Caenorhabditis elegans: one gene and its partners. The protein of the gene in region 1 purifies or fractionates together with the protein of each later gene. This does not show direct contact. Each region holds a gene or a part of one and is shown on either strand. Other genes may lie near its edges.

The links.
Region 2: the proteins of mau-2 (region 1) and let-607 fractionate together in Caenorhabditis elegans (co-fractionation; one large-scale study listed by BioGRID). This does not show direct contact.
Region 3: the proteins of mau-2 (region 1) and mrp-3 fractionate together in Caenorhabditis elegans (co-fractionation; one large-scale study listed by BioGRID). This does not show direct contact.
Region 4: the proteins of mau-2 (region 1) and mapk-15 fractionate together in Caenorhabditis elegans (co-fractionation; one large-scale study listed by BioGRID). This does not show direct contact.

What each region holds. Positions count from the first base shown.
Region 1 is NC_003279.8:8,123,814-8,130,575, reverse strand, and holds mau-2 (Maternal uncoordinated protein 2), read right to left. Parts: upstream 4,776-6,762; 5' UTR 4,770-4,775; coding exon 4,551-4,769; intron 4,502-4,550; coding exon 4,417-4,501; intron 4,367-4,416; coding exon 4,263-4,366; intron 4,126-4,262; coding exon 3,764-4,125; intron 3,184-3,763; coding exon 2,841-3,183; intron 2,598-2,840; coding exon 2,532-2,597; intron 2,042-2,531; coding exon 1,926-2,041; intron 1,409-1,925; coding exon 976-1,408; intron 773-975; coding exon 719-772; 3' UTR 535-718; downstream 1-534. UniProt on the Caenorhabditis elegans protein: Plays an important role in the loading of the cohesin complex on to DNA. Forms a heterodimeric complex (also known as cohesin loading complex) with scc-2/SCC2 which mediates the loading of the cohesin complex onto chromatin.
Region 2 is NC_003279.8:6,572,147-6,577,039, reverse strand, and holds the start of let-607 (CREB-H transcription factor homolog let-607), read right to left. Parts: upstream 3,037-4,893; 5' UTR 2,962-3,036; intron 1-2,961. Other genes in the region: ipgm-1 (2,3-bisphosphoglycerate-independent phosphoglycerate mutase), read right to left, coding at 4,610-4,720, 4,839-4,893. UniProt on the Caenorhabditis elegans protein: Probable transcription factor, required during migration of the gonadal distal tip cells (DTC). Probably regulates cell adhesion of DTCs via modulation of expression of genes involved in integrin-mediated adhesion, including tln-1, src-1, and integrin pat-2.
Region 3 is NC_003284.9:15,936,312-15,941,319, reverse strand, and holds the start of mrp-3 (ABC transmembrane type-1 domain-containing protein), read left to right. Parts: upstream 1-1,995; 5' UTR 1,996-1,997; coding exon 1,998-2,174; intron 2,175-2,226; coding exon 2,227-2,355; intron 2,356-3,434; coding exon 3,435-3,575; intron 3,576-3,630; coding exon 3,631-3,750; intron 3,751-3,804; coding exon 3,805-3,991; intron 3,992-4,855; coding exon 4,856-4,975; intron 4,976-5,008.
Region 4 is NC_003281.10:6,066,016-6,072,605, forward strand, and holds mapk-15 (Mitogen-activated protein kinase 15), read left to right. Parts: upstream 1-1,841; 5' UTR 1,842-1,875; coding exon 1,876-1,923; intron 1,924-2,306; coding exon 2,307-2,387; intron 2,388-2,431; coding exon 2,432-2,559; exon of another isoform or gene 2,560-2,564; intron 2,565-2,752; coding exon 2,753-2,902; intron 2,903-3,828; coding exon 3,829-3,913; intron 3,914-4,011; coding exon 4,012-4,168; intron 4,169-4,215; coding exon 4,216-4,420; intron 4,421-4,564; coding exon 4,565-4,796; exon of another isoform or gene 4,797-4,800; intron 4,801-4,949; coding exon 4,950-5,094; intron 5,095-5,595; coding exon 5,596-5,777; 3' UTR 5,778-6,071; downstream 6,072-6,590. UniProt on the Caenorhabditis elegans protein: Atypical MAPK protein. Regulates primary cilium formation in sensory neurons and the localization of ciliary proteins involved in cilium structure, transport, and signaling.

The DNA of each region.
Region 1 (6,762 bases):
TTATCATTTCCTACGCGCATGGGTCTTGCCACGCAGGAAATGAGATACTGTAACTTGTGCCGATTTACGGGGTGCAATTTTTTATTATTTTTTAAAGATTTATTTTTCATTCAAGATTATGCACAGCGGCTCATAAATTGATACAGTAACTCGTCGTCATTCTTCTCATCTTGTGACGTCTACATGGTACATGTGTTGGGAAAAATATTGGCACGAAAACAGGTCAAGTAACTCCTTTCAGTATAATATATCAAATTAGCACATGGTGAGCCAAATACCCGCTAATAATAGCGTCGTAACCAATTAAAAATGCTCAAATGGCTCAAAAACATCTCAGGATATTGCATCATCTTACGTCAGCATTGAGATCCTCCAAAAGTACCATATAATAGGTTGTGCAAAAATAATGACAAGGAAATCCTAGACGATAGTTAATTATTTTGGCGAAGCTTTCTGACAACTATTCCATGAATATGAAAACTTATTGAAATTAGATGATAATTTTTTAGGATAAAAAAGTTGCAAAACATATAATTAAAAACAAACTTTACCGAACATCAGTTGAAAAATAAGGCCATAAATTAGAGATCATTAAAGAATCATATTGAGATTAAGGGGGACGAAACTGATAATAGGAAAGAAAAACGCGAAAAAATTAGGATAAAAACCTATCAAAATGTGACAGACTTTCATGATTGGGGGGAATTGTACAAAAACTTTATAGAACAGTTTCGTCGCGAGGAAGCAGCTTGAATGGATCTCCGTCGAACCACTGAAAAAATTAAATTTACTGAAATATTGGGAACACTTTTAAAAAAAAGTGAAATTCATTTGTTTTTAATGAAATTCTTCTTTACAACCTTTTCTTTCTGAAATTTCAAAATTGTACAAAATATAAATAAATGTGAATATTTTTAGAATTGAATAAATTCATAGCTTATTTTTTTCAAAGTCTAACTTCTGTAGATCTCTCACCTGAAGCAATTTAGAAGCTGGCATGTTCGCTACCAAAGGAGTCAAATTTTCAACACTTAACATCCGTCTTGAAGCCAATTGTTCACTGACCACCATTTTCATTAGTTCCGATTTAGGGTCATATCCGGCTGCTAATAAGATTTTTTCGTAGAGTGAATGACTGAATAATATAACAACATGATCATGTGATTTCTTGCTCCAATCAACAGTTGGTCGAACTCCTTTTTCATCAACATCAGTAACAAGTGATAAAAGAAGAAGACCAAGACCATGTAAACGAAAGAAATCTTCTGCTTTTGAATCATCAAGAACCTCGTGACTCAGAAGTTTACATTCATTCAATTTATTTGTAATATAAGCGAAGAATGCTGATAGAAGCTTCACATTATTCTTGAGCATTTGGGAGCAAGACGAAATTTTCGGAGCAGTTAAGCTGAAAAAGATTTATGTGGAGGAGATATAATTTTTTCGTTTTTTTTGTGCTTTTTGCGAAATAGCGTTTCAAGCTTACAACATTTCTCGTTTTTGTCGTGTTTCGGGCGAAAAATAATTTTTCGTCTTCCAAAAATATAGAGGGCCGTAATAACCGAATAAAATAAAAATTAAACTTATTTTCTAATTTTCTAAAACGATTTTTTACAATTTTGCAACAAAAAACAATTGAAATGTCTAAATTGGAGTCGTTTCCGGAAAATTTATGTCTGCAAATTTGACAAACGATATTTCAAATCAAGCATCAAAGAAAACCAAGAAAAATTAATGAATTTTGCCGGAAACCGCTGAAAATCCTAAAATTCGCTTGAGCGGGAATTTAAAATTAATTTTGAAATTTTTTTTCAAAATATAAAAAAAAATTAGTCCTAGAAAATTTTCAAGTTTTCCAGTAAAGTCCTCACTAACCCAACTCTGCCTTTAACATTTTTTTGTAGATTTTTCTGAAAAATGCTTACTTTTCTGAAACTTCGTAATAATCGGCCATTTTCAGTTGATTGAGATAAGTTATTGCCAGATTCAAATTGAGAAGAGCCATTGTATTATGAGCGGTAATATCTTCTTTGTGGAGTTTCTGTAAAGCGGGTATATCGATGAAAAATTAATTTTAATTTAATGGGGAAATTTGATTTCCTTTTTTTTTTGATTTTTCCTTAAATTTATAAATACTTTTTACTATTACTTTTTACTTTATAAATACTATTTATAAATACTAGCGATGTTCAGATTTTTTGATAGAAAATTTACAAATGTTACGGAAATATTGCGAATTTTAATTTTAATTGGGAGTGGATCGAAAAAATTGGAGAGAGAAAAAACTTTTTTTATAGAAAATTTTATAGAAAAACAGCAAGAAATTCAGCTTCAGGAATTTTTAATTTAAAAACCTACGGAGAACTGAAGGAAAACCAAATTTTTCTTTTTTCGCTTCGAAAATTGTTTTCAAATGTTTCAAATGAAAATCCGTTTTTTTTAATTGAAAATCCGAAGTTTACGTATATCTCTTTTGTTTTCAAAAAATTTTCTGATACTTTTTTTTAGTTTTGCTAAATTGAAAAAAAAACCTTCATTGCCGCACGGAAGTGGTTTTCAGCATTTTCATGTTGTCGGAAGTAGCAGCATTGGAGACCCTGAAGATTATAAGTTTTTTGGATAGCAATTATTTTCGCAAATTCTACAATTTGATAATTGACGGCTTTCAGGTCATTTTTGAGAACTTTCTCGAATTTTTCTGCTTGAATAGTTGCCATTTTTAGATTTTCAGATGAATCAATTGATTTTTCTAATGAAATGTATGGCGCAATAGGTAATTTTATAGCATTTCAGAAAATAACTGCTTCCCCCAGCTCAGCTTGGAATCTATAAATAGTTACCAAAATATAATGAATATGTGGTGTAAAATATCGCGTAAGCAGTGGTCCACTTGTTCGATTTGACCATTCCAACATATCTCGAACATTATGCAATGTTTTTTGTGGTCTACATGCTAATACATTACAGCATGCCATCATTTCCAATGTTGTCATTTTAATCATATTAATGCATCGAACAACTCCAGGTTCTTGTGGTGATCGAGTTGATTTGAATATAATCTCATCGGCGTGTTTGATTACGAGATGATAATATTTCTCAACACGATCCGTATTTGATTGAACGAGAGCACAGATTTGATTCATTACACATGCCAGTAAAGTTATCGAAGGTTCGCCGAGCCATCTGGAAATGAAATGGAATTTTAAATTTTGTTCTGGAGAAAATGAGAGCTTTTAGAATTTTTCACATTTTACGCCAAAAATGTGAAAACTGAGAATTTAATACAAAATCTAGATTCCATTATATTCAGGAGTTTAACTTCTTTCTTGAATCTTTCTTGAATATAAAATGAATTCAAATGTGAGAATTTCATGCTGAAAATTTATTAAAATTTTCGTGACAGTTCAAAATTTCGAAAAAAAATCTGCTTAAATCTGAAAATTTGCCACAGTAGACGAAAATAAAGTTATTTTTCTCGAATATCACCTTATTTTGCATATTAGAGTCGTTTTTCCGTGTTTTTCATTGATTCAAACACAATTTTTAGGGTTTTTGACCATAATATTTTTATCGTTTTTCAAAATAACGTTTCAAGTTTACAAAATTCTTTGAGATTTTCGTTCCGAAAAAAGCAAAAAAAAGCAAGTTAAAAAGTTTTTTTTCGTTTATACAAAAATTGTGCTTCAAAGAAAAATTCGAATTGTTTTTTAAATTTTTTAAAAGCATTTTTTTAATTATTTTATTCGGTACAAAGTTCATATACCTGATGCCATGGATCTTAGTCTCTCCACTTGTTTGTGATTTTTGAATTTGTCGTAAAAGTTGCCGGGAAGTTCGAGATTTTCCTTCGTAGAACATGTACGCGAGTTTAGTACATACATAGAAATCCTTGATACATTCCAAATGTGCTTTATCAGATGTTGTACTGTTCTCCATTACTTTAATCATTGAACCAATCCTCGTTACATCGGAAATGTCAGGTTCTTCGTGCATTAATTGATAAGTTACAAGAGTCTTCGCAATACGGAAATATAATTCCATTTTTGGATCAGCATGGGAACTATTGATTGCAAGTTGACACATTTCGATGGCTCCTTCGACGTCTTTATCGATTTTCATTAATTCCTGAATAATAATCATTAGACACTAATTTTGAATCATTAATTCTTTTTGATTTTTGAAAGGCGCTCAAAATCTGTTAAATTATTTTCGCTTTTGAATAGTTTCTAGTTTTTGCAGGAAATTCGAGAAACTTCACTAACAATTAATTGAAACATCAATTTGTTGGATAAAGCTGGAAATCCACGTGTCGTCGTAATTTCGTGACGAATCGTTGCCTTGATAGAGGTTAATGGCCATTGTTGGTCTGAAAATAATATATTTGAATAACAATATACACAAACTTTTGAATATTACAATGAATATGAAGATCGGCAAGCATTGAAATGGCGTTCATCTTGTCTCTCGTGTAAAATGTGCCCATCGCCGACATTTTATCGTACTAAAATATGAAACATAACTTAATTCGAAAAAGTGTTTTTTTTTCTTACAGCGCATTGAAGATGATTTTTAGCCAACTCGAAATTATCAGTGTAGAAAAATAATAATTTTCCTAGCTGAAGATTGCAAATCGCTTTCATTTCATCCGAAATTTCCATGCTTAGCGTACTCCTTGCACATTTAATTGCCATTTTTAACTTCGGAGGATCTTGCGTTCGCAGTGCCTCCGCCATTCCCAACAAGGCTTTCGCAACTGCATCTTGGTTCATTTCCTTCTGAAAAAAACATTAAATTTAAGCTGAATTTTGGAAAAACTAAGAGAAAATTCCAAGAAACGCAAAATTTTTATTATAATTTAAATAAATTTATAAAAAATAAAATTCAAGTTTTCCGGGAGGCTCTGCGGTGAGTGGAGAAAACATTTTTGGAAGAAACAAACACGCCGGATATTTCCAGTTTAATTTAATAATACCTGTTTTAATTCAATGATAAACAAGCTATTACATAAATTTTAATTAATAAAACAAGTTTTAAAACACATAAAGAGTAATAGGAAGCAAACATTTCCAGGGCGCTCATATTCCCCGAATGCATTTTCTCTCGGATGCTATGTGAGGCATTTGCAAATGCGCTCTATCGAACATTTGAACAATTCAAGTGAATTTAGACCATTTTTGTATCACTAAATCCTGAAATCAAGCAAAAGTGTATCACCTTGACGAATTAAAGGCATTCTGAAATATTTCTGAAAATATAACATTTCTCCGATGCATTTGAAAACATCTTTGGCAGAACGATTCAAAAAATAGCCGGAAAAATCACGGGCACATGCATTTATATTAATTATCAATAGGATAAATAGCAACTTACGGAGCTATGTACGCTTCAACACTCCTATATTTGAAGATTAATTTGAAAAAATGAACGCATGGACTCAAAAAGTGTATAACTAATTCAAACTATGTCATGTTCCCGAGTAGAATAAAAATAATTTTCTTAGACAATAAACTCGATTGCTGATAAATTCTGACGAGATGGTGTCAATTTGGAAATTGTACATATTGACAGGTATACACGTGGAAACCGAGATAGGTTTCACTCAAATATTTATTTCAGAAAGTATACTAGGTTTGATGCAATTTTTGTAGATTGGTAAACTTTTCGAACTTTTAAATAATTTCCATCTTTTTCAAATCTTGTTTCTGTGAAATGTTGACCTAGATGTATTCGAACATACATTTAGGTTAAAACAGATTCCAAAAGTTGTCATCAACGTAGCAATCCTTCGAACGTTCAAATCCCCACGCTTTTTGCATAAAGTATCAATAAAGGCAACGAGGCGCAGACATGTATGCATATTCCTTTTTCTCCTTCTTCACCATCGTTCCCTAACATATAAATGATCGATAGAAGCATATAGAAGTGACGAGACCCAGAGAAAACATCAGCCAGTTGACAGAGGCCGTTCTACTGGCGTGCGTATAGGCGATGAATCGCGACACTCTCCTCTATGTTCTCTTTATATCTGCGTCTCTCAATCACTCTATCTAAACTGAATAGAAGAAGAAGACGTCGAAGCTGCTCCGCGAGAGCTCCGTGAGCTTTTGCGTCTGTGTGTGTTCTTCTCTTCCTCTCAGCTTTTTCTCGTTTATTTTCATTTCAATTTCTAATACGATGAGCCCTCTTTGGACATTGAGCTCATTCCATTTAAAATTGAAAAAGCCTCCCTTTTCCTATCAAATTATATTTTATTTTATTGCCCGTTTCGGGTTTGAAGGATTTCGAAACTTTAAAAAAAACTGTTTTTTTTGAGAAATTAATTTAAATTTTAAAATTCGAGGATTATATGTTATAGGCATTACCGAGAGTTTTTAATACATTTATTTAGTATGTAGATTAATTAATTTTTGAAGGTATTCCAATTTCTTCACTCTAACTAACGGGAAGTTACACAATTATAATTTTTATTTTTTGATAATAAATATTAAAATTAATTAAAGTCAAAACTAGAATCTTTAATTCTTCAAACTTCTCAAATTATGAATTTTCGTTTTTATAAGAAGGAAAATTGTTTTCTGTTAAAAATAAGCTCTGGCCAAAATCTGAAAATGGCATTCCATTAATTTTTTGGTTCTTCTGGATCGGAAGAATTTGAAGAGAGAGAGATAAAACTGGGAAATGGGAGACGTATAAGGTCAAGATGATAAGAATAATGAGAGGAGAGATAGATAAAATGAGAGGTTTTCTTGTTATTATTATTAT
Region 2 (4,893 bases), 1.6 Mb from region 1:
ATAATGTCTTGACTTTTGAGAAGGTGGGTGTGAATTAGGAACACTGCTGTCGTTTAGGTGACATCTAGGAAATCAAAGTTCCAATTCGAATCGGCTTTTCGTGAGATATTCTATCAACTAATCTAACGTGGGCCGCAAAGAGAACGCTAAAAAATAAGAATGGTAATAAAGTGGTTCTCATATCTGTTTGATTACTCTAGAATTTCATTTTGATCCCCTCTAGATCAATTGAGATTTCAAGAACACTTGCCGCCTCCAATTACCCAGCAGGTTACCCGGAGACATGACGTCCGCAATGCGATAAACTGTATTCGTTTTTCTCCAATCAAATCTCGGAAAGGTTATTGCGCCATCTCTTTTGCTTCTTTTGATTGAGACGGATGACATGCCGACATTACCTTTGGGTTATCCGTTTAGGTGCGCTAATCCCACAAACAGATCGCGCAAATAATATAAACTGCCATGAGAACCAGTGAAAGATGAGCCGAAATTATCGAAGGCCACGTACAAAATAGTTTTAAAAATATATATAGCAGCATGAAAACTAGATTATAGCCTTGACGCTAAAAAACGGTACTCCAGGCAAAAATATTAAAAGAAAAAACCGATTGAAGTAATGACAATTCAATGCGAATTTGGATGTATTGAAAGTTTTCGTCCAACACTATTTCCCAAAAACCTCTACAAAACCAGAATATGACGGTATTCGTTCGTCGATCACACTTTTCACTGTTGGTCAAGTACTACTATTACTACTTCAGCTAGCCGGACAAGAGAACACAGAAAAAAGAGGAATAGTGCGTAATTCATACATATACCATACATTCATAACAGAGACGCAAATGACTCATGGATACTGTCGGGTTTTGTGAAAGAGAGCAATGATATTTATACAGGTACGTACATCCTACTTATTATATGCAAATAGAGTATTTTGGTGGATCTAGAATATTGAAATTTAGCTAACAAAACCGTCCAATTTCATCGCAGAACTTTCTATGAAAAAAGTGAAAAGAACCACAGGAATAACTATATTGCAAAGAAAGATGGAGAGGAAAGTGAAAAATAAATATTTTATTGTTGGCCATGAAAAAAATCAGAACAGAACGCAGGCCATTGACGGGAATATTGGAAAACGGAGAATCAGCCGGAAATATTATTATTTTTTCATATTTTGACGCACATATATTTTGTGTAAGTTAAAGATCCCAAGTGTTTTATGGACATCATCTAAATAGATTGTGAGTCTATCCACGCTCTAGTTCCAGTTATGTTCAGAAAAGAAATGCCAACACGAAGAACGGGATAAATAACAATTGAAAAAAGAATTCATACTTCAAACTGAGACATGTCAAAAAACGAATGGAAACTTGAAGCAGAAGAAGCCAAAGGAGTGGATGTAATTATGTAAACGAGTGACAAGAAAAAAAACTATACGGAATCTGGGAAACAGCAAATTTTTTTCGAAAAACAACAATACTAACTGGCTTCATATACTTTCAAAGAGGTAATCGTGGAAATTACTCATAGATACCGTACCCTAGTTGTCATTACAATTTTTTTGATTTTCCGGTTGTGAGCACACTTCAAAAACATAAAATTTTCTCCTATTTTCAAATCATATTTATAAATAAGAATTAATCTTCAAACCAAACAAATACAATGTTTTGATTATCTATGGAGATGGAAAATGAGATGAGCCATTTCGGTCTAATGAGCACGTGCTTTATTCAACTGATATTTTATTTACTGACATTCCTATCGGATTTCAATGAAAATAGAGGATAGTTTTTAAAATTGAAGATATATGTATGTTTCATAATTGAGCTATTGAAAGGCTAAATTAATTTTTCAACAAAGAACGCACAATATTTCATAATTTTTCGAGTTATGGCCCCGGAACGAGAAAATCTGAATTTCCAAAATCTTTCAACATTTTTAAGTGATATTCTCAAATAAAAGTTCCTAAATCTTCAAAATCCGTTCACTTTTTCCTCATCATTATCGCACCGAAACCGGGCTTCATCCTCTTTTCGCTGTCACTTCATCTTCGAAAACCGTATCAATTATAATCTCGTCGCGTCCGCTTGTCCACACACTTCTGGCTTCTTCTCTACTGCTTTCTGGTCATTATATTCATTCTCTTATTAGGAAGTGAAAAGAGAGAAATAATGTTTCTCTTCCATTCCAAGTTCCTCTCTCTCTCTCGGTACAAACTTCCTTGTTCGTGTAAATCGTTTGTATTTCTACACAAAAAGGGAATCACTAACGGTATGTAGATCTTGTTATTCAATGCGGGAAAGATGACGGAAAGGAAAATGAGAAGAAGAAGAAGAAAGGAGAAGGTTCGAGAATAAGTTAAGAAAACTTGTAGAATAACAAGTCGTTCACCACAGGAAACCGGTTTTACAAAATCGGAAAGGATTACATTTATGTACAGATATTCGAAAGTTTAGGGGATTTATAAAATTTATGATCGATACGAAATAGTTCTAGAATTCACGAATCCCTTTTAAGACAGAAATTCCATAATTTTTTTTGAATTTTTGCTATCGAGTATTTAGTGTAAATTATCCATTTTCAGCCCAAAACTGGCTGCTATCCGTTGACTAAAATAAATGTCAAGAGCTTTCTTTCACTGAATGTGGGCGGAAATGAATGCAGAAGCGAGCAGCAAAGAAACAGTGAAAAAGAAGCTGAAAAGGGAAGTGAAAATATAATTTGGATTGAGGAAACGAAAAGATGGAAAGAAAGCGAAACGGGGAGAGCAGCTAAAAACGGCTATTCCATAAACAGAGCTAGAATTGAAGAAGAAGAGGAAAAAAGAGAGAAAGTCCTGAATACTGGACTCTTTAGTGGAGGAATGACGCGAGCATTTGAATTAACAACGTCACTTCGTTTGTTTTTTTTTTGTTGGAAATTTAAATAATTTTAAAAGATAAACATTAACTGAAAACCCACCTTCTTCAGATTTATGGAGAAGAGAGCGTGGCCACGTGGCAAATTTTGAGATGAGAAGACCGCTTGGGGAAGTTTCTGAAAGATTTGAATGGATTAATATTATATTAATCTGAAAATAACGAAGAAAACACAAATTCAACGTAAATATTTGAAAAAGAAGCCTCGACAAGTACCGTAATGCGTTTCTAAAGGCGCACGGATTTTTTCGGATGGGTCTCGCCACGAGAAAAACAATTTGCGGAAACTTTTGCGGAATTTTTTTCAAAGTGGACACTGAAAACACCAACAAAAAATCATTTGAATAAATCTCTGAGTTTCAGAAAATTGTGAAGGATATAAAAATTATTATGTCCAATTGCCTTTTTTCCTTTTCCATATAGTTTTCTGAATTTTTGGAGACCCGAAGAACTCGGGGGATGTCCTATTGGGGGATTACCAACTCGGGGGATTGGCCCCGCCCACAGAACCGTGGCTTGCAATACGCCCATTTTTGCAACTGCCGCACGGTTTTAAAATTATTTTTTCTTGTTAATTCTCGCTCTATTGAGAAAAATACAGTTTTAAAACCGTGCGGCAGTTGCAGAAATGGGCGTATTGCAAGCCACGGTTCTGTGGGCGGGGCCAATCCCCCGAGTTGGTAATCCCCCCAATAGGACATCCCCCGAGTTCTTCGGGTCTCAATTTTTGTATGCTCGATTTTTTTCTCAACAAAATAATTTTTCTTATTTACACTTTGTAAAGTTTATAAAATGTACATTTACTTAAAAACCAGAAAAATATTCTGAAGATTTAAAAAACGATGTAATTCTTTAAAATCTATGATCTGCTGATTAAATCCTAAAAAAATCCTAAAATTTTCTGTTAATTAAAAGGTCAGGCCATGTAGCCACGTATCTAGGGCAAGGTCATGTAATTTTCATGTTTTTTGCTTCATCAAAATTCGATCAAACACGTATTCAAAGTCAACGAAAAATAGAATTTCACCTAGTAATTTCGATTTTTCTCAATAAAACTGGGTTCGTGGCACAAATAGGTCATTTTAACTGAGTGATGCTAAAAAACGATAAGGAAAAGGCGAGGTTTCTGGAGTTTTCAAACGAAAGTGACATCAAAATGCTAGCAACATTTTCTCCAAAGAATTTTCGAGAAACTATAATGAAAAATGTCACACAGAGAGAGCATTAGAAGAAACGATAAGATACTAAATCAAGAGAGTTTGAGAAATTAAGAGACGCAGAGAAAACCAATGGTTTTTCTCAGTTCGTCCCAGTAAAAGTCCGATCAAATCAATCTTTTGCGAGCCGTCAGAGTGCTCCGCAGATGTGCTCAGTGTGTCTATTGGCCAAATGTCACCATCAATTGACCCTTCAAAAATGTTGAGCAACTGACTACAGAGCTCATTCCGGAGCAAGAAAAAAAACATAAATAGCAAATAGAATATGAGTCATCCGACAGGTCATAGTAATGAATGAAATATTTTCTCAGTGCAATATAATTTTATTCATACTAATTTAAGGATCTAAATACATAAAAATTTTCAGACTATAAACAGAATTGAATAGTAGGTAATTGGGAAGAAATTGGACAAAAGAATACTGTAGAAAATATAGTTCATAGAACTTGAATATTGAAATCATTGTACTTGAATCTAGATCTTCTGAACAATCGAGACCCCAGTCATTTCAGCTGGTTGAGGGAGTCCCATAATAGCGAGAACTGTTGGAGCAACATCACAAAGGGCCGGATGACGGTCGGCTGGCTGTAAACGTGTGAAGTGAATAGCTATTTACACCCGTTTGTAAATTAATATTTTCATTTAACATATGGGTTTCTGTTTTTTTTTAAATAAAAATTTCAAACGTTTGACAAAAACTCACATCGACAAATTTGAATCCTGGATGGCTCAAAGTGAGTGGAACACGGTAACATGTG
Region 3 (5,008 bases), on another chromosome or scaffold:
CGACTATTATATTATTTGTTATTTCAAACATTAGGATTACAAAATAAAAAGTACATTGGAAAATTTTTTTAAATAGCTGTAGTTTTTAAAATTTTTTATATTTTGAATTGTCAAAAAAATTTACAAACGGTTGTTTAAATGAAACTACACACATGTATTCCTTAAATTGTTCTTTGAACCCAGTGAACTGGTGTTTCACCCGCATTTATAAGTTATAAAGTCAACAACAAACTGACCAGAAAACCAATAGTACTAGTACAACATTTTTGTGAATTTCTAGAAAAAAAAATAAATTTCTGTTGGAAACCTCTGGAAAATTAGAATTCGTAATTTGACAACACTTTTTGCTCATATTTTGGTTTTGTTTTTTAATTTCTAATATTTTTTGTTAATTTGTTTTTGAATATATCTAATCAATTTCCAAAAAATAAAACATCAAAAAGTGTTGTAAATTTTTGTGCAAGACAAAATTTGGGAGGATTTTTTTCATGGTTTCGACCATTTATTTTTATCCAAATTCGATATTCTCAAATTATTAAATTGCTTGGTTTGGCTAAAAATGAAATTTTATACATTATCTTCAAACAAATTTGAGTTGTCTTGCATTAAAGGTGGCGTAGTCAATTTTTTTAGATTGATTTATTAGAATCAAAATTGTTTGAAAACACCGAATTTTATAATGAAACTTCTTGAAAACTTTTCAAAAAAAAAGTTATGACGGGTAAAAAAATGGCCTAAAATTAGTTAACATTTGAAATTTGACCGACTTGTCACAGCGGCTGAGATCAATTTTTTTTAAAATCACTTTTAAAAACACATTGTATGTATACTCAAAATTGTCCGGAGATTTCAAATAAAATTGTTTCCAGCCGCTGCGACATGGACAATTCGGTCAAGTTGCAAATTTTAACTAAATAGGCAATTCTTTGAGCCGTCATAACTTTTGTTTTGAAAAGTTTTCAAGAAGTTTCATTATGAAATTTGAGTTTTTCAGACAATTTTAAGTCTAATAAAGCAATAAAAATTCGACCACCTTCAAAAAGAGCATTTGATTTGTGTCAATTGTGCACTTTTGTTCCTACTCCGCCAATTTTGTGCTCGTCTCCCCTTTCAACACACATCGACACCAACATCGACAAAAACACGTCATTATCCATGAACACACATGTGCTCCACCCCATACACTTCCTATCTTGGCAAGATCAGCGACATTATAGTCACCAGCTACCTACAAACTTGCACACAAATCACATTCAAAACACACAAATGCGCTGTCACCTAGGGGTCCTCAGTCTGTCTTATCTCATCACCGTTTTTGATCGACACAGGAGACCAGGAGACTGCACGCATTTTGGTGGTAACGTGATACCATTAGTATCACAACAATTGCTCTCGCTTCTCCTGCTTGTGTACAATTTATTTGCCCGTTTTGTTGTGCTAATGATTTGATTTTCGAAAAGAGAATTAGTTTTTGTGATATCAAGTTCAGTTTGTGTGTATTCCAAAGTTTTGTGACTTTTTTGAAAAAGTACGAATAACTTTTTTATTCTGAAAAAAACTCGGTATTTTTAAAGTGAAATTTTACAAATTCAGACAAGTTATATCAAGTAACAAAATATTGTCGGAAAAGTGCATATATTTCGCAATTTATTATTATAAAAACTTAAGAAATTAAAAAGGTATATATTTCGTTAGCCTGTATAATTTTGCACTGAATTTTTGCTCCCTCTCAAGCTGAACGTTTTAGGTTTTAAATTGTTCAAGTTATCAGGTTTTGTAATTTAGAAAAACCTAGAAAAAAAATCATAAAAATTGCAGTTAGCGCGGCAAGACCCAGACGCTTTCCTTGAGAATTTTAAACTTAAAAAAAAACAATTTAAAATTGTTTAAGCCTTCCGAACAGTCATTTTTACGAAATTTATTTTTTTTAATTTTCTGTCTTTTTTTTTTTTGGAAATATTCAGCTTCTAACTCCACTAAAACTTTCAAATTTTCAGATGGAAATAGACCAGCTTCTCAACTCCACAGGTCCACCTATAAGTATAATTCTCCCTAGCAACTATGTAATCGTCCCATCCATTTTCTTCTGGATCCTAACACCTGTTATCATTCACGACTGCAAAACTAGTCGCCAGACACCTCTTCCATGGTCAACACTGATGAGCTTGAAATGGGTAAGCAGAACTCTGTGCAAAATCAGATAAACCACTCTATAAAAATTTGTAGTTTGTCGCCAGTTTGCTGATCATTGACCGATTGTTTGTATTTCTTCTCGCTGTATGGGAATCTCTTTTTGAACACAAAAATGTGACGGCGGATTTGTTCATCATACCGTTCTTTCATAGTTTCACATTGGTAAGTGCCAGATGGCAAGATTAAATTGTTCTCAAATGAGATTCTGTGGAAAAAAGTGTTTCAAATTCGTTTTCGATAAAGATAAAATTTGAGTGATATGTATTAAGTTTGTGTTTTGATGTGAAGTAAACTTAGAACTAATTGGAATTTTTGGAACATGGTTTAAAGGAAAACTAACGGTTTGGACAGTTTTGAACGTAAACAATTACACTAATTTTAGTTAAAATATCAAATTCTGCCTACTTCTCTGTCCCATCTGCCCGAAGTTCATTTTTTTTTTGGAATTAACATCTTTTATTGCATATTTTGGTAGTTTATCTCTTTCAATTTTGCCGATTAAGGTACATTTAAAGCCTGTGGTTACCTATCGGCTTTAAATATTCTTTAATAGAAGAAATTAATTGAGATAAACTACCAAAATATGCAATAAAGAATGATAACTCCAAAAAAGTCAACTTCAAACAGATGCGACACAGAAAAGTAGGCAGAATTCGAGATTTTAGCTAAAATCAGTGCAATTTATTCAAAATTTTGAAAAATTTTCGAGCAGTTTCATTACGAACTTTGTTAATATGAGCCCAATTTGGGTATATAAGTTGAATATCGTCCAAACCGTTAGTCAACAGAAGAAAAAGTGTCGTGAATTGGTTGCAAATGAAAGTTTAAAAAAATTTCAAAAAAAACTACAATGTCTGACTAAATTTCTGTTGCGGACGACATCGGCCTTGCATCTATTCAATTTGTTTTCTACATGAACAAGAACTTGGGCTCCCAGCTAAGTGAGGCGCGAAATGCCGCGCGCCGTTGTGTGTATGATAGAAGTGCGAGAGGTCGTTATTTGAAGCGGCCGACACGTTCGGAGTTCCGCAGCTCAACGTGAAATGAGTAGCTTGGTGTGCGCACACGTTCGGAGGTCCGCGCCTCACTATACACGAGGGGTGACTCGGTGAGGCCGGCGCGGCGACCGCTGAGGCCGGCGGAGGCGCCGTTGCGGCGACCGCATGGGAACCCTAACAAGAACATTGCAAGATTCCGATGTTGAATTTAATCCTTATAAAAAATGCAAATTATTTTTCCAGCTTGCCCTCCTAATCGCCACAAATGAGGTTCGTCGGGCTGGAATCCACTCCTCTGGACCACTTTTCTGCATTTGGATGCTTTTCGCAGTGGCTGCAGTGCCCGAGTTCTATCAATGGATGACAACAGGCAGCCAGCCAGAGGTACGTGTGTATTCACCGAATTGTTTATATTGAAGCATCGAATTTCCAATTGCAGCTTGTTGCCCGAATCGACTTCTTCCGCTATGTAGCGTACTTGACGTACTTTCCCTTGGTAGTCGCCGAATTTGTACTACATTTTGTGTCTGATCCGTTCCCGATGCCAAGGGGTTATCAGGTGTGACTAGAGAGATATGATAGGAGAAACGTTTTAGGGAAAATTATATTTTAGAACTTGAAATGCCCGGAAGAAAATGCAAATTTCATCAGCAGGCAGCTATTGCTTTGGTTCACACAAATCATTTCTCTAGGATATGAAAGAACGCTTGTGGCGGATGATGTTTTTGAAATGGATAGTCAAATGGATCAGGAGTACCTGAAAGCTCGATGGAAGACAGAGTGGCTGAAACAAACAGAAAGTATGGTAGTTTGATTTTCAAAAATTTATTTTTAGAAATATTTAAAAAAGAGGTCAGAAAATTGTCACTTTGTTTGAAAAATTATTTGAAAAAATTAAAAATGTTGATTTTTAATGTGAAACGTTGCATTGTTAAGAAAAATAAATCTAGTGTCAAAAAAACTACGGAAGAGCCTACTAGCCAGGGGTGCGCGGTTCGGCAATCAAATTTTCGGCAAACTTGGCAATTTTGGCAGTGGCCGGAATAGCCGGTTTACGAATATTTGCCAAAACCGGCAATTGCCAAAATTGTTGATTGCCGGAAATCAAAATGGCCCTAAATATAATTTTTATACTTTTTGTAGAGTTAAGAGCTTAATCATGCATTTTACTGAACAATTTTTTTATCAAGCTCAAAATTATGCAATCCTTGAAAGATTGAATGTTTTCTGTTAGAAAATGACTTAACGAATACTAAAAACAAAATGAAATTGTTGAAATTTCCGAAATTGCCAACTTTGCCGATTGCCGAAAATTTTCATTTTCGGACATTGCCAAAATTGCCGAAAACTTCCGATTATTAAATGTACACACTTTTCCCATATTTCATTGGCTATTTGAACGCTTTTAGGTCTATTTTATCCAAAAAATGAAAATTTTTCTGACAATGTTTTTCTGGTCCGGCAAAACGTCGGTGCAAGATTATTAGAGAGTGCTATATTAATAGAGGAAAAACGATAATTTCTTGACATTTAGAAGACTGAAATTTAAAAACAAATAAAAAAATAAATATCAAAAATTGTGTTGCTTCTATTCAAAAAATCGATAAAACTAGATAGTTAACACGGATTTTTCTGAAAACTACGGATTGCAAAGATTTTTTCAGAAGCTCGTGAAAAACAAGTGAAGCTCGATGACAAACGAGAACGAGCCAGAACTGGAAGCGAGAAAGCCCCACTTTTAGGTACTTTCAATAACTATGGCGCAGTGAATCTTGATGATAAAGGTTAGTATTTTTTTCGTAATAAAGGTTAAAATT
Region 4 (6,590 bases), on another chromosome or scaffold:
CCGACTCCTGCCGCCTCGTGGCCTCGAAACGTGTGAGAGAACAACGGAGAAGCGGACATACATCGACCAACACGTCGTCATCCGATTAATTTTCGATTTTTCTTTTTTTTTCAAATTTTATTTTATTTTTTATAAAATAAAAATTTATATGAACTATCAATTGTTATTAATGAACCGCAAATTTAAAATATATGGCGAATAATGGGGGTGGCAGCTAGCTGGTCACCCGACGAATATTCGCATGACGCGGTTTACCTGTGTTATTTTTTGTAGTTGTCACATTTATCAATTCATTTCATCGTATTACGCGCATGGCAGATTTGGCGCAATGGATAGTGATGATGAACGAAGAGCAAAGGACCAAGGGATCGAGATAAAGAAAAATAATGTTAAGAAGCTGCAAGAGTCTGCAGAAACATGATAGAAAGCTGCAATACCTGCAAGCGCTTCGATTTGTTTTTCGCGCTTCGATTTGTTTTTCACGCCAAGTTTTGCCAACCTCTGCAGATTTCTGCAACTTCATAACAGTTTCTTGCAACTTTATATAATTGTTTTTATTAAGTTGCAGAAGTTTGCTAAGAAGCTGCAAGCGTGCGCTATAAAGTTGCAACGTTTTACCGAGTATTGCAGTGGGAAGTGATCTAATTTGAAAAAGTCTCAAAATTTTCAAATTTGTCAGCGGAAACTAAGCATGACGTCACAAACATTACTGGAACAGTTTTACCCTTATTGAACAGTGAAGCCACGCCTGTTGTGGTCTGTTGTGGAGTTTCTAAGCGCAATTTATCACATTTTACAGTCTATTTTTGATGCCAACTACCTAGCACTTGTGTTTCATGGTCTTCATATTCTCAGTGCCTTATTTATTTCCATCCGTTCAGCTTAAAGGTTTCAACCTATAATTTTAGGCGTTCTCTATCATCATCTTCCCCCGTCCATCCTCCGTTTCTCTCATCCTCCATATGTTCTCTTTTCAACAAGTATTCCATATCTACCTGTCTTCTCTATTTCCATTCCGCGCCCGGTTCATTTTTCTCGTTTATATTTAGTAGTGAAGCTGAATCAAAAAGTCAGTTGTCATTTACATTCACATCAAAGAGTTCTTTCCTATTTTTGGGTGGAAGAAGATGAAAAAGAGGGCAAGGTTGACGTCAATATGACGGAGATTTTTTTGTTTTGAAGAGATTATTTATTTTGAATATTCAGATATGTAGGTTGGTTGGAATAATAGTTTGAAATTTGAATTTCTTCTAGTGAGCCTTTACCACTTGAAACTATTGTAGATAAGAATGTCGTTTTCGAACGTATTATGTTGGCATTGAAAAACCTAGAATTTTATTTGAACTTATTGAATGTATAAATTCCTTTTAAAAAATTTCAAAATCTTCAAATAGCTCGAAATTTCTCAACTATACTTATTTTGTTGCCGCACATTCAAACTTTCTCTGAATGCGCATTCACACTTTGCCCATCATATTTTCCTTTTTCAAAAAACACCGCTAGTAGAAAGGAAATAGTTGTGATCTCAAGCACTGTCTTAAAAAAAAACCCCCTACAAACGGTGATTGCCGAGTTGCCCATTGAAAACAAAACTCTCTTCCACTTTTTCTCTGTTCTCTAAATCCCTAACTCTACTTTCTGCCGAGCACTTTTTCATTCGGTTACCATGACAATTTCTTCATCTCCTTCTTCTCTTCCTCTTCTTTTTCTTTTTCTTCGTTCAACTATTCTAGAGCCGCCGCCACCACTCTTTCCGTCTACTCCCACACCTTAATCGATGCTCTCTTTTTTACTTTTTCTTTTTTCAAATAATATTTTCTTTCACTTTCCAAAGATTTCAGCTGACCACACGGGTACCATTCGGAGTTTTGCACAATGACCGACGATGTGGACACGCACATTCATGAGAAATTCGACTTGCAGGTTAGTTGTTTTGTATAATTTATTTTCACATTTGGGAAATGTTTTTTTTTGAGATATATAAATTTTCAAGATTAATAAAAAAAATTATATTCACCAAAATTCAATTTGAAATACTCGGAGCGTGAGTCGTTGCTGATTGGCAAATTTCTTCCCAAATTCAAAGTTTTTCTAGCTTTTCTGGAATTGTTGTCTTTGTCTGTTTTATCCACGAATACATATAAGTATGATTATATATAAATAAATATTAAAAATAGATTTATAATAAATATTGCAAGTAGCCCAATTGAGCTATGTAAATTGGAAAAAAAAATAGGCCCCTGTCTCTAAATATCAGGGGGGGGGGGGGCTTGCCACACAAGTGAGACTAAAAATCATAATTTTAGAAACGTCTCGGAAAAGGTGCATATGGAATTGTGTGGAAAGCATACGACAAGAGGTCGAGGGAGACGGTGGCTCTGAAAAAGGTGAGATTTCTTAACCAATTTTCATAAATAACTGTTTTTTTCAGATTTTCGACGCTTTCCGAAATCCGACAGATTCCCAGAGGACATTTCGAGAAGTGATGTTTCTTCAAGAATTTGGAAAACATCCAAATGTTATAAAGTTGTATAACATTTTCCGAGCAGATAATGATAGGTGAGGTTGGAGAATTTTTATTCTTAGCTTACAAAATAAATATATTGTTTTCATATTTTATGTCTTCAAGGGTCATACGCAGGTAACTGTCACTTTTTAAAAGTAGAAAGAAATTAACAAAAACAAATAACTTATGTTTACACACTTGATCAGACTTTGATCGGATTAAAAAAAAATAATTATGTAATTGCAGAGATATCTACTTAGCATTTGAGTTCATGGAAGCTGATCTACATAATGTTATAAAAAAAGGGTCGATATTGAAAGATGTCCACAAACAGTATATCATGTGCCAGTTGTTCCGAGCAATTCGATTTTTGCATTCTGGGAATGTGTTACACCGGTGAGTACGAGCAGTCTGGAATTGTAATAGTTCCGTTCTATATTTTTGATAACATGAAGCCTGAGTTTCCCTTTTTCTTTCTGAATTCGTAAAAGTATTGAAATTTTAATGGATCATCAATCACATTAGCTATAACATTCCTGATTTCCATTTCCTGAATGGACAGCAAAATAATCACTTCCTCCGTCTAGATATGGAATCTTCATAGGAAATAAAAAAACGAATCACGATAACTTCCGTCATGATCATCATCATATTTTTATTATCAGTAAACAGATTTAATCCCCTTCGCTCGAGATTTATTTTTTCGACAATTGCGTGTCAAAAATTGGATTAGAAGAGGTTGTTTGGGGGTGGAGGAATATGATTAATTTTGTATACTGGCATGTCTGGAGAAATGTAGAAAGACGGCTATATTTAATTAAGCGAACAGTTTGAAAATCCCGCGCGACTAGCGTGCTTGCGACCAATCAGCGGTGTCAGTCACGCCCCTCGTATCATTTATTGGACTGTGCTCACATATTTTCTGCATAAGTTTAGTTATCAAACTAGTCAAAAAAAACATAGTTTTTGGTGGCGTTTTTCTTGATGATTGATGAAAAAATGGGAATACTTTTTATTAACTATAGAGCTAATATTGCTAGTCCTCATGTGCCGTCATTTCTACAAACACGGTTTTAGAATTTTTCAATTCTTCTAAATTTCATATAACTGAACCTCGTCATATTTCATAGACAATCATGTATTTTGTGCGGAATTGCAAAATTTATAAAAATGGACCGGAAGTCTGTACTTCCGTTATTTCGGACGGAAGTCCTTACTCGAATCTATTCTTTTTGGTCTTTTATCTTTTTTTTTAAATACCGACCATTCAATAGTTGCACTTTTTGTTAAATTGTTCACGTGTTCAATGTGGGTCTTTGCAGGGATTTGAAGCCATCGAATGTTCTACTGGATGCAGATTGTCGTGTAAAACTTGCAGATTTCGGATTAGCGAGGAGTCTTTCGTCGGTAAGGGTTAACCAGTCCAATAACAACTTACCTGTAGCAATAGTTTGTTTCATTTACAAGCCAGTTACGTGCTCGTTTCAACAATCTTGCTTTTTCAGCTTGAAGATTACCCTGAAGGCCAAAAAATGCCGGATCTAACAGAATACGTGGCAACAAGATGGTACAGAAGTCCGGAAATTCTCCTGGCAGCCAAAAGATACACAAAAGGAGTGGATATGTGGAGTTTGGGATGCATTTTAGCTGAGATGCTGATTGGTTAGTGATATTTTTAATTTTCTAACAAATTATTTTTTAATTCTCAGGACGTGCTCTGTTTCCGGGATCTTCGACTATTAATCAAATCGAACGAATAATGAATACAATCGCAAAACCTTCAAGAGCTGATATTGCAAGTATTGGAAGTCACTATGCAGCTAGTGTGCTTGAGAAAATGCCTCAACGGCCGAGAAAACCACTTGATTTGATTATAACTCAATCACAAACAGCTGCGATTGATATGGTTCAGAGGTTTGTTAAGTAATTGAATTAGTATTAATTAACCTACAACAATTTACTATTTTTTGGAAATGTGCACAAATTATCAAACTTGTAAAATGTATCGCGCTGTTTGAAAAATAACACATAAATTTATTTTAAATTCCAAATTTTCAGATTGTTAATATTTGCTCCTCAAAAACGATTAACCGTTGAACAATGCTTGGTACATCCATATGTGGTACAATTTCATAATCCATCAGAAGAACCAGTACTCAACTATGAAGTTTATCCACCACTTCCGGATCATATTCAATTGAGTATTGACGATTATCGTGATCGATTGTATGAGATGATTGATGAAAAGAAGGCCAGTTTTAAGAGGATACAACATGAAAAGATCCGACCTGTGGGTAATTATTATAATATGTGCATTGGGGTTTTTGGGTAATCTAGAAATTGCTTAACTGATGGTTTTCCAATCTTGAAAATTTAGCCGAAACTAGTACACATTAACCATCTAGCATAACACTAACTGATTTTAGTTTTTGTATATTTTCAGTACGGCGAAGATAAGAGTCGTGCTCCGATTGCTCAGGCTGAATGCAGTGATACTGATTACGATACGGCAAGAAGCTTACAAAGAACAACAAGCATGGATAAGAATAATAGTAGTTCGCATGATAGTAGTTCTGGAACTTTAAGAGGTAAGACAGCATGGTAAATATATGGCTAACAAGTTAAAGTTAAAAATATCTTTTAATCACATAAATTAAAATTAAACTGCTCGAGACTCACAAATTTGATATTTTTATGGTATTTTTTGAATAGGAACCTTTCGTTTGGTTTTTATGACAATTAAAATGCCACAAAATTTTCCAAAAACCAATTTTAAAAAACGCTTATTCAAAAGTCTGGATAAAAGATAGTGCGTAAAATTTATTTTAATTTAAAACCGCCATGGTTCTATCTATAGATAACTTAAGAAAATTAATTTTGAATTTTGCGCGAATTAAAGAAAATAAGTTCACAGTTCCCACTGACAAGTTTTGAAAAGTTTGAATTTCGTGAATTTTTTTTTCAAAATTTTAATTTTAATTTTTCGGTGGAAAAAATTTGGTCGGTTCTCTAAACAAAACTCCACATTCCACATTTTTTGGGCACTAGTATCTTACAACCAAAAAATTAATTCAATAAGAAAATTTCAGAGCGAGCCGCTTCAGCTGAAAGTCGAACCTCAAAAGATAGCAACGGAGAGATGAGAAATGGGAATGGGAATACTCCAAGTAGTATCAAGCAACGTCGTCGTTCTGTCGAAAGAGCTCGATTATTTGCAAATATCAAGCCTTCCAAGATCCTTCACCCACACAAATTGATCTCAAATTATTGATTTTTAAAAATGGAAGTAGACTTTTTTGTTCTTAGATTTTCAGTATTGTCAGGAGCAGCCCTCTCCAGACAATTCTGTAAAATGTTCAACTAATGGCATTATTTAGTGTTTGCTGTTTCATTTTCTTCATTCTTTTTTCCTTCAAAACTAGTATCATTGTGATGGTTGTTTTGCGGTTATTGACCAATTTCTCTAGTCAGTTCTTACCATTTTTTGCAATACTTTTTGAAAATGCATTAAAATAATTATAACTAAAAATATTTATTGAGTTCAATAATAAACGGGTTGAATAAACTTTCTACAAATTTTTGATTCGGGTTTTAGATATGGAGTAGCGTCAATATGTGTATTGCTTTAAACAGCATTGGAAAATCAAATTTCTTTATGAGGCGTGTTTAAAAATAATTTTCCAGATTCAAATGAAAAGTTAACAAAGTCTAACTTGTCGTCGCGGAATTTATTAATTTAATTAATCCGTTGAAATATAGCCCCGTTCTATAGATGTTTCGAACCACCGACATTTTTTTCATGCTTTTTTTTTAATTTTTGAAACCTTTTTTTTAATTAAAAAAAAGTATCATCTCGAAATTCAGCTTTTCTAGGAGATTTTATATATTTTATGTAAAAACATATTAAAGTTCTGAAACGTTTAAAAGTCGATCTCGTTTAAAAGTCAAACTAAGAAAATTATCGATATACATTTCAAATATTTATTTTTTCTATACCGTAAAGCTTGAAAAATGTTCCCCTCGTTTTCTTTACCTAATACTTTTTTATTAAATTTGTTTCGTAAAATAATCCACCCCTCAAAAA